Callithrix jacchus: one gene and its partner. The protein of the gene in region 1 purifies or fractionates together with the protein of each later gene. This does not show direct contact. Links are inferred from orthologs where the notes say so. Each region holds a gene or a part of one and is shown on either strand. Other genes may lie near its edges.

Region 1 (5,325 bases):
TTACCTCTAAATTGGCTTGCAAATTACTGTGGCCAAGTCCAGGATAGACTGTGACCTGCTAGTGTGACCTTGATTATGACTAAGACCTCCGCCATAGTTGAAAACTGCTGATTTTGGCTGGGCGTAGTGGCTCACTCCTGTAATCCCAGCACTTTTGGGGGCTGAGGTGGGAGGATCACGAGGTCAGGACTTTGAGACCAGCCTAACCAACGTGGTGAAATCCCATCTCTACTAAAAATTCAAAAATTAGCCAGGTGTGGTGGCAGGCACCTATAATCCCAACTACTCAGGAGGCAGGAGAATTGCCTGAACCAGGGAGGTGGAAGTTGCGATGGGCTGAGATGGTGCCACTGCACTCCAGTCTAGGTGACACGGTGGGACTCCATCTGAAAAAAGAAAAAACTGCTGATTTTGTATAACATATGCCCTGAGTCCAGGAGGACAAATCTGTGGAACGAAGAAAAGAGAAACAGTAATAGTGTTGTGATCTTATGTAGAGAAAACATGCTAGTAATGTAGGTTGGGGAGTGGAAAGTGTTGAGGTTTATGACAACAGCAAGTGTTTATTGGGTACATAACCAGTCCATGTACTACTGCCCACTTTCCATTTTGTTTTGCCTGTGACTATGAAGGAAGTGAGTATTTTTTCAAAGGAAAGCAATTAATAGAACTCAGCATCAGTGTAGCACTTGGTGTTTGCAAAGAGGTTTTAAATGCGTTATCTAGTTTGAGCCTGTGAGAATAGGCATTTTTACCTGTTTTACAAATGAGACATTCATATCACTGAGACATAGAAGAGGAGAAATTACTTGATTAAGGTATTCCACCAAAGGGACCTATAACTTAAATCTGTATCTTTGATTTCACAGAGACAGCGTTCTAATACTCTTTCCAATACTCTCCAATTTTGTTGCATCTAAGTAATAGGTATAGCTATTTTTGGATTTAATAATGTGTTTAAGTTTATACTGATATTACCCACATAGAAAATAATAAAAGGAAATGATGGCTTCCAAAGTGTTTTAGTATTTTTAACATTCTTTGGTTGAGTCCTCAACACTAATAATTAATAATTGCGAGCAAATGTGCCTGTGAATTACTGCAATTAGGAACTCTATATGTCATTAATTCTTACAACACTCTTTTAAGGTAGTTATCGCTATTATTATTATTAATTCCTATTTTAGGATTGAGGGAACTAAAGCTCAGAAATTTAAATATGTAGCTCAAGACAGTAAATTTCTGAGTTAGGATTTAAGCCCATTGTAAAACACTAAAATGATTTAAAAAAACTTATACTGCCTTCCAGAAAAAGTGTGGCTCCTTGGAAATTATTGAATTGGAGTCATCAGTTGGATGCATTTGGGTATATTAAGAATGAAGTTACCTGTTAGGGCTACACAGTGTCTTTATTAAAGCTCTGTTTTAAACCAGGTGCTGTAACAGACGCTCTTTTTTTTTTGCATTTTGCCTTTAGGTCTGTCAGTTTGTCGTTTCTGTCAATGGGCTTAATGTCTTGCACGTAGACTACCGGACCGTGAGCAATCTGATCCTGACGGGCCCACGGACAATTGTCATGGAAGTCATGGAGGAGTTAGAGTGCTGAGTTCCTGGGCCTCCCAGCCCTCTAGCGGCCTGTGGGTGATCGAAGCCAGAATGACACAAAGCAATGCAATGATGAGATTTCCATGCAAATGGATGGTTTCAGTCCTATGAATCTTCTCCGCACACACACATCTAAAGTTGAGTTTTATACACTGAATGTGGAAGAACCGGGTAACATATCTTTTTAATAAGATGTCAGTGTAGAAAACATTTGGGAAACAGAGTTTTCCTACATGGTAGAAATGCCTTACTAGATTTCTGTTTGTAGGTCTTGTTTGTTGTTTTTTATCTTAGTTTGCAGAAAGGTGTTGAAATGCTTCTCTAGTCCAAACAGCAACATGCTAAAGTCCCCTTCTCCAGAGTCAATAGAGTAGTCGTTAAGGGTTTTTAATTGTACTTTCTCCAAAATTAGCACGGATCTATTTGACAAGGAATCTAGATGTCACCAAGATTCAAACTGAAACAACATCCAAAGGAATAAGACCTGTTCACTAGCATTTTCAAGGGGATTCTAAAGCATTCAAGTGCTTAAAAGCCATAAAAATTGATTTCTCAATTCCTGCCTTTAGTGTCAACTTTTAAGTTAGTACAGGTTTCAATTGTGGCATTAGCTAAAACAAAAACACAACAAAAAACGAAAAAAACAAAAACTGGGTGATGCTATGGGCGAGGGTAGATAGGGAGAGACTGCACAAAATTGTCCCTATTTTCTGTCTGAGCCTAAAATCATTTTGTTTTATAAATCAGGTATATTAGCTTTCTAGATTTAATCTTGAATATGTTGAATGTTAAAACAGAGAAGTTTGTATATACACGTCATTAAAAAAATCAACCCTTCTGGCAAGATTTCACTTTGAAGGTGTCTGTTTTTAAGCGAAGTCTAAAACTTTGCTGATATGTGATAAAACTTGAACTCTAGATTGCCTCCTTAGCCTGAATTTTTACTAGCTTTCTAGTGTAACATATTCTAAGGACATGACATGCTGCTTATTTGGGGGAATTGTTTTTCACCAAAATGACCATCTTGCATTGTAACTTTTTAGCTCACTTGTATATATGCATGTTTTCATTTTTGGTCTAGAAAATAGTACATTTCGGGGCTTGGTGTGCAGAGGAAATTCCTCGAAGTGCCAAATTAGGGAGTTAGGCAATACTAAATTCTTCATTCCAAATAAGGGATCTGAATGAAGAGGTTAATTTTTTTTATCATGCATTAACAAAATAAAATATGAATGTCATACCACAGCCATTTCTTTGTATTAGGTTATCATAATGTACAGGTACTGGTGGAATGGACCTACTGTGCTAAATATGTTATGGACATAGATATATATATTTCTGGTAATCTAACGTTTCTGATTTGTAGCTTTAGTCAGAGAATAGGATTTTGGAGGGACAGAGAATGTCTAACAGTAATACTGTTGATATACATTTGAGAAATACTATCACTTCTGTGTGGGTGTGCGTTTGTACTATATGGCAGGCTCTGCGCATTTAATGTCTATGATATTCTTTAACCGTCATCACCACCTTGCAAGGTAGGTATTAACATCCACATTTTTTCAGATGTGGAAACTAAGTCTGAGCAAGTTTTTAAATGGTCTCTAAGTTCACACAGTTGCAAGCAGTACTCAGTGACGGAGGCTGAATGCAAACACAGGTTTAATGCTAAATCCCATGTTACTCCCCTCAGCCTTTCCCCATTTAAGGACCTTACATTGAGGGTTTATTCTGAGCCAGGCTCTGTGCTAAGACTTTCTGCCATTTGTCCTTATTGGCCTGTGAAGTCGATATGGTCATTATCTCCACAAATGAGGAAACTGACTCGTAAAGTGGTTAGTCATATGCCCAAGGCCACAAAACTAATGAAGTGGGAAACCTTACCACTGGCTTTAAAAAATTTATAGCATCTTTAAAAGATGAGTCTTAACTGCTTTCTGTCCTCAGGTATTCATTAAGTGACAAAAGAAGAAGGAACGCCTTTCCAGAAATGGCATCTTCTTCTTGCCTGCTTTACCCATTATCTTGGACCCTGGCATAATAGAACTTCCCTTTAGCCAACCTAAGCACCAGAGCAGCATCCCTCTGTGTCTATTGCACACAACCTCCTCTTGCCCGTGAGGAAGGAAGGAAAGAAGGGAGGGAGGATTTCCTTCTTTGGTTCCCATCACCCTAGGTTTAAAGGCCAAATTCCAGGGAATCTCTTAAGGCCATAAGAGATTTCCCTTAGTTATTCCTCCAGCCCACCCCTTATATCTTTACACAGCAATTAAAATGACTACACCTGCTTCCCCGGGGGCCCTATCTCACTCCCTCCAGCCTTTGCACATGTACTTTCTTCTTTGTGGAAAGAAGAACATTCTGTCTTACTGTTGCCTGGAAAACTCTTTCTTCATATAAATTCCCTTTAGAAATTATCTCCTCTGAGAAGCCTGCACCAGCTCCCCAGTTCTAGGATTGATGCCTCTTTTCTAAATTCCCATGGATCCTGAAGTCCTCCCCGTGCCCCGTTAGAGCACTGATGACATTTACTTTGAAATTTCCCTGTTACTGTCTATTTGCTTAAGTAGACTCTAAGTATCTTCAGAGCAGGGGCTGTCTTACTATCCAGGGTATTCTCTTCACCTAGCACAATTCCTGCCACAGAGCAGTGTGTCAGCTCTCCATTGTTGTCTAAAAACCCACCTCAAGGGTGGGGCACAGTGGCTGGTGCCTGTAATCCTAGCACTTTGGGAGGCCAAGGCAGGCAGATCACTTGTGGCCAGGAGTTCAAGACCAGCCTGGCCAACATGATGAAATCCCATCTCTAATAAAAAACAGAAAAATCAGCTGGGTGTGGTGGCGTGCACCTGTAATCCCAGCTACTCGAGAGGCTGAGGTGGGAGAATCACTTGAACCAATGAGGTGGAAGCTGCTGTGAGCAGAGATCAAGCCACTGTACTCCAGCCTGGGCAACAGAGAGAGACTCTGACTCAAAAAATCAATCAATAAATAAGTAAATACATAAAAAAGAAGAAAACCCAGTCAAGTGCAGTGGCTCAAGCTTGTAATTCCAGTGCTTTGGGAGACCGAGGCAGGTGGATCACTTGAGGTCAGGAGTTTGAGACTAGCCTGGCCAGCATGATGATTTTCCAGGCATTTATGTTTATGTTTTTGCTACAGAGATGAAAGTAGTTTTTGTTTCTTCGTTAGCATATTAGCATAGGATGCACAAATTGAAAGCCATGTTCCCTGGTAGAAAGAAGTGCTATTGCCTTTTGGATTGATTCTATTGTCTGATGTGTTATCAATCTTTGTTAAATAATTGTGTAAATTAATATAGAGACTAGTTGAGAAATGGTGGATAACATGAAGAAGATACCCATCTTTGCATAGATTAGATGTGATCAGCTTCACACTATCATATAAAAGGTGGCTGCATTGGAGAGACAGGAATTAATATTAAAAATGATTTCAGTTCAGATCTATATCTTACATTTCCAAATACTCTTTTCTTTCAAATATGGGGTATAAGTAATCTGCTTTAAGTCCTATTTTAGGCTGGGTGCAGTGGCTCATACCTGTAATGCCAGCATTTTGGGAGGCTGAGATGGTAGGATTACTTAAGCCCTGGAATTTGAGACCAGCCTAGGCAGCACAGTGAAACTCCCATCTTTACAGAAAATAAAAAATTAGCCAGGCGTGATGGCACACACCTGTAGTCCTAGCTACTTAGAGGCT
Region 2 (5,779 bases), on another chromosome or scaffold:
ATGTTAGTAGACCATGGCCTGGCCCTCAAAGCTAGGGTTTGTGTTCTCCTATAGAACATACACAATTTCAAAGAACATCAACATCAGACGAGGTGATTCTGTGACCATGACAGATCTAGACAAATACAAGACCACTCTATAATCAGGTCCAAACAGATAAAACCTGATGATTGTCCAAACCACAAAAAATGACTCCAATACCTCTGATTGGCTAATAGAGGGAGTTGCTGCTGCCTTTTTTTTTTTCCCCCATTTTTGAGACAAGGTCTGTCTCTATCGATCAGGCTGCAGTGCAGTGGTGCAATCTCCATTCACTGAAACCTCCACTTCCTGGGCTCAAGCGATCCTCCCACCTCAGCCTCCCAAGTGACTGCGACTACAGGCACATACCACCAGGCTCAGTTCATTTTTGTATTTTTTGTAGAGACGATGTTCGCCATGTTGCCCAGGCTAGTCTGGAACTTCTGGGCTCAAACAATTCGCCCGCCTTGGCCTCCCAAAGCGCTGGAATTACAGGCACGAGCCACTGTGCCCGGCCAGGCTGCTGTTTCTTTACCTGAACAGCTTTAGCCTTACAGGCATTCCCTTCCACTAGATAAGATGAACTGAGATGCTCAATCATGTAATGACCCTCTCTTCCTGACAGCATCTAATCCAGAGAAGCCCACACTTCCTTAAACCCTCTTCCGAATCATTAACTGTTACCCAGATGCCCCATCGTTCCTCAATGTGTGTTTTCAGTCACTGCAACTAGTAATAAACCCAGTTTGTTCAACGATCCGTGTGTTCCTGGTGGGATTTGGTTAAAGGGCATTGACAACCCTAAGTGGAGGCTGAGTTCACTAGAAGTCTCCGCTTGTGTGTTCCTTCTTAGCCACTATCACTCTTTTGGTTAATGTCTGTCGTCCCTCTACCAGAATTAAGCTCCATGAGAACAAGAGCCTTGTCTGTCATGTTCAGAGCTGATTCTCAGTGCCTAGAGCGGTACGAAGCAGAAGCTGGATGCTTAAAAAATAACCATTTCTGGGTCGGGCGCGGTGGCTCAAGCCTGTAATCCCAGCACTTTGGGAGGCCGAGGCGGGTGGATCACGAGGTCAAGACATCGAGACCATCCTGGTCAACATGGTGAAACCCCGTCTCTACTAAAAATACAAAAACTTAGCTGGGCATAATGGCGCGTGCCTGTAATCCCAGCTACTCAGGAAGCTGAGGTACCCAGGAGGCGGAGGTTGCGGTGAGCCGAGATCACGCCATGGCACTCCAGCCTGGGTAACATGAGCAAAACTCCGTCTCAAAAAACAAAACAAAACAAAACCATTTCTGAACGAATGAATGAGACGGACTCGATATACGCAGGTTCCCTTTAATCTTGCAGCTCCTTGCAGATTGTATGACATACACACACAGCACCACAGCCCATTTCCCAAAACTCCCTCTTTCCTGAAGAAATCTCCAAACTCTCAGGATGCCCATCTTCTCAGAGCCTCTTCCCTGGGCCAAGCTTCTCTCACTCGCTGGCCCCTTCCCACACCTGAGCCCCAGGCCCATACACCTACCTTCCTAACGCCCCTAGAACCCACCTGTCTCCACCATCTGCCCTTACTACCAGACGCTGGCAGACGGCAGCGCAGCTACCTAAGCGTCGAGTGGGCACTGCGGCATGGACCGCGCATGTGCGGAAATGGGTCGCACACGCAGGACCTCCGACTAGGGAGGAGTTGCCTCGGAGTTTCCGTCCCGGTCTGGGCAGCCTTGGGCTGCCAGGAAGTCAGGAGAGGCTACTAGGAAGTAGAACCTGGGCGCACGGCTTTCTGGGCCATGTAGTCGTGGCGCTCTCGAGGCCCTAATATGAGCACGCTCTTAACTCTTCAGGTTTACACGTCCTACATCCACAGTACAGTGCTACTCTCAGCTCGGAGTTCAGCTTCGGGTGCCTAGAACCAGCGGCCCGGTGTCGGCGGCTCGCTCCCACAACGCACTGCGGGCCGCGGCGCCTGCTGGGAGGTGTAGTTCTTGCTCTGCGTACTGCGTTCGCCGAGGGGGAGGGCGGAGCTGCCGGCGGCCCGGGCGGGCTGGCAGCTAGAGTGGGTGCGATAGCCGCCTACGCCTCTGCCGCCTCCGCCGTCGCCTCCTCCGCCCGGGCCGTTCGCTGCTGCGCGGGGAGAGCGAGGCGGGGCCGCCGGGCCGCCATGGAGCCCGACTCGGTGATTGAGGACAAGACCATCGAGCTCATGGTGAGTGCGGCCCACTGGACCGTCTGTGCTTCCGTCCGTCCGGCCCCGGACTGGCCTGCCCACTTCAACGTCCGGTGCGAGGCCGGCTCTGGCCCTTCCCCGCGGTCTCGGCCCAGACCCGGGCCCCTAGCCTTCTCTGGCTTCGGACTCGGCTCGGGTTCCTCCGATCTCTCGACATCTCAGGCCGGTCCTGGCCCGGCCCCTTCCATGCCCCTCGCTCGCTTCTCCCCCTCCCCCTGTCCCGTCTCCGGTCCCAGCTCTCGGACGACCCTCGCTCGTTTTTGCTGTAGAGTTAGGTCTCACTCGCTCTAGCACCCCATTCTCCTTCTTTTAGAAGGGGATTTTTTTTTTTTTTCTTTACTCTGTGTCTCCGGCCCAGGCCCGCACTGCGCTTGCAAGCCCCACTCAGGCCGAGTGTGGTGGTGGGAAGGAGTAGGGAGGAGATCGGTCGGGGCCGCCTGGGCCTCGGTGTCCTAGGAGGGGTTTCAGCACCCACTCCCCAGCCTAGGTCTGTGTGGATGCCAGGATAGGCCCTGCAGAGCTGGGGGGCAGGGAGCTCTCGGGTTTGAGGCTGTGGCGGATAAGGAGGCCTCTTTCCCGGGCCCTTGTGGTGTCCGGCTTCTCGGACAAAGGGTTTCCTACCCGGCGGAGAGGGATGTTTGCATAGCAAAGCCCCAGGTACTCTGGATTCCATACCCCAGGAAAGAGAAGCCGCAACTTCACGTTTTCCAGAGCTGCTTTCGGAAATTGGGGATGATGGGGGAGGGAACCATCCTCATCACTGCCGGGAGTTCTTTCTTCTCAGAAAGAAAAAAAAAAAAAAAAAAAAAAAAAAAAGGGGAATCCTTGGCCCCCGGGGGAAACGACCACTCTTCTGTTAGAAACCGATGGCAGCCAGGCCAGACTCCCCGGTCCGTGGACACCCTCTACCCTCTTCCGAAGCTTTAGGATTTGAAGCCAGAAGGGGTTTTTAGGAACAGGACCGTGAGAGAGTGGCTAGAAGTGAAGAATTTGCTAATTGGTGGATGATTTGGTGGAAGAAATAAAATATGGCAGATATTACCTGCCAATTTGAACATGAGGGAAATCAAACTGGGCTCTGGAGAGTTGGGAAGAGGAAGTCTGCATGAGCAAACGGACGTGTCCAGGATTTCTTTCTGTGGAAGCCTTGACAGTTTCTTTGTATCTGCCCTAACACGGTAACAATTTCCCCTTGGTTGAGAGGAGAGGTGGAAGAATCTACTTAACCCAGCAAAATGTTTTCCTAGCCAGATTTTCTTCAGTGTGAAAATGTTTATTGAGTCAGTGATTCCACTGGGTAGGGTTGGTGACATCAGAGCCACTTCCCCCATTTAACGCTATAAATAATAAATGGTGACACTGAAAGTCTGTTGGATAGCTGCATGGTTTCTGTGGATGATGGTATCTGGGGAGTGGAGATACTTGTTTTAAAAATGGAAGTACAGTAGCATAAATATGGAGGCAGCTTAATGTTTGCTGTCCTTTGCGTAATTCACAGAACTGGACTTCTCTAGCATTCTTGAAAACTAGGAGGAAAAAAAGGGAAACTGATAGTTTTTGATTTTTGTATGCATGTGTGTGTGCACGTGTGGTTGTTTTCAAAGGGATAATGTCACATGCTGAGTAATTTTTCCTTTTCAGCATAATTTATCATACTTGTAGTCAGTGTTTGCTATTCTGTAACTTTTGTAGTGGGTTATTTTGCTAAATATCTTAAATCGACTAAGTATATTACATATTCTTAAGAATGTTCATACAATACCTGTACTTACAACAGAAGTACTTCATATCGAAAAATTGTAACTTGGTGCCTCTTTGAAATTGGCTGTTCCCAGCTCCTTCTGTTTCTATTCTTTTTAAAAATAACTAAAATGTCTTTATTGTCAAAAGAATTGGGAGAAATACATTGTAACCCACATCAGTGTATGGTTACAAAATAAAAAAAATAAAAACCTTTGGCCTAAATGCATTGGCTTCCTATGTTTGTAACTTAAGTTTTGATTTGACATGATAGCACTTGGTTTTGATCTGAAAAGAGATTTCAGCCTGTTAAGGACATTATAAACGGGGATTTAAACTGGAATTCTTAGAAAATTTAATGGAGAGTTTAGTTATATTATGATTAATTTAAAAATGGGTTTTTATTTAAGGATTTTGATATTCCCTGAAAGGGATACCATTTGACTTTTAGACAGCCCTTATTGTAAATTAAGTTTATGTATTTATTTTAGTAAAATAGCAAAGGTGCTTAACAACTGATTAAGTAAATCCAGGATCAAATGTAGGAATGATAATGCCTTAGAATCTAATTGCATGTGGCTTTCTGTTTTCACTACATTTAAATGACAGTTTCCAGAACTGGGTTAAAAATGTTTTTTACATTGGTTTCAAAATAATACGATTGATAGAGATGGGGTTAAAATGATGGTGTTGTAAAAAAAAATGACCTTAGCATGAAATATTTTTAGATTTTTATGAGTCAACTTGAGTACTCAAATATTTGTGATTGTGCTGCTTGTACCAGTTTGGCACTTAATGGTTAACAAGATAACTTTCATTTTGTATTCCAAAATGTGCTGTACTAGAAAGAGGAAACAGACTTCTTGGTTATCTCCATTTTCTAATCTTCATCCTTCTACTTCCCTTGATATTAATTCTTCTGTCTTTCCTGGCATTTTTGATAAGTACATTAGGAAATAAAGCTGGTGATAGCAGAAGAATTAAATTTCCAAATATAACCCCCACGTTGACTCCTACCCCTGCCTGAGGCCTGGGTCCACAAAGGGTGTGTCTCCTACTGATCTGCTCTATAGGATCCAGATTTTAATGTTATTAAAGTCTATAAACTCTTAATTTAGACCGTGAACTTACTGATGATGAACTGATGGTAAAGAATTTAACCACCAGAAGACTTTTATGGCTTATATTGGCTCTGTACCTGTTAGTGGGCCTGTTTTTCCAGATTTCTTATCACTTTAGGAAAGGGGATCCTGCCTCCTCTAGGGATTGAGTGAATCTCCTCTTCCCTTTACACAATTAATGGATGGTTTGTAGTTAATTGTTAAATGACTTCCCTTTTTGCTGAATGACCTTAAGTGAGTCATTTCCCTTCTGTTTATCTCTTAAGTGGCTGTATTACTTGTTGAATGAAGTAAAATAGGTTAAAATACATTGATCCACTGGGCGCGGTAGCTCACGCCTGTAATCCCAGCACTTTGGGAGGCTGAGGCGGGCGGAACACTAGGTCAGGAGTTCGATACCAGCCTACCAACATGGTGAAACCCTGTCTCTAAAAATAAATAAATAAAAATACATTGATCCTTATTAAGAAGGTGTGGGCAGGTGCAGTGGCTCACACCTGTAATACCAGCACTTCAGGAGGTAGAAGGATTGCTTGAGCCTAGGAGTTTGACACCAGCCTAGGCAACATAGCAAGACCCTGTCTCTATAAAAAATAAAAAAAATTAGGCATGGTGGTGCACTCCTATAGTCCCTGCTACTCAGGAGCCTGAGGGGTGAGGATT

What was found.
Region 2: the proteins of DEPTOR (region 1) and FBXW11 purify together in Homo sapiens (affinity purification with western blotting; 4 studies listed by BioGRID, with this or other methods). This does not show direct contact. The link is inferred for Callithrix jacchus from reciprocal best matches to the Homo sapiens genes DEPTOR and FBXW11.

What each region holds. Positions count from the first base shown.
Region 1 is NC_133517.1:77,363,965-77,369,289, reverse strand, and holds part of DEPTOR (DEP domain-containing mTOR-interacting protein), read left to right. Parts: intron 1-1,477; coding exon 1,478-1,606; 3' UTR 1,607-5,325. UniProt on the Homo sapiens protein: Negative regulator of the mTORC1 and mTORC2 complexes: inhibits the protein kinase activity of MTOR, thereby inactivating both complexes. DEPTOR inhibits mTORC1 and mTORC2 to induce autophagy.
Region 2 is NC_133503.1:64,278,121-64,283,899, reverse strand, and holds the start of FBXW11 (F-box/WD repeat-containing protein 11), read left to right. Parts: upstream 1-2,054; 5' UTR 2,055-2,189; coding exon 2,190-2,234; intron 2,235-5,779.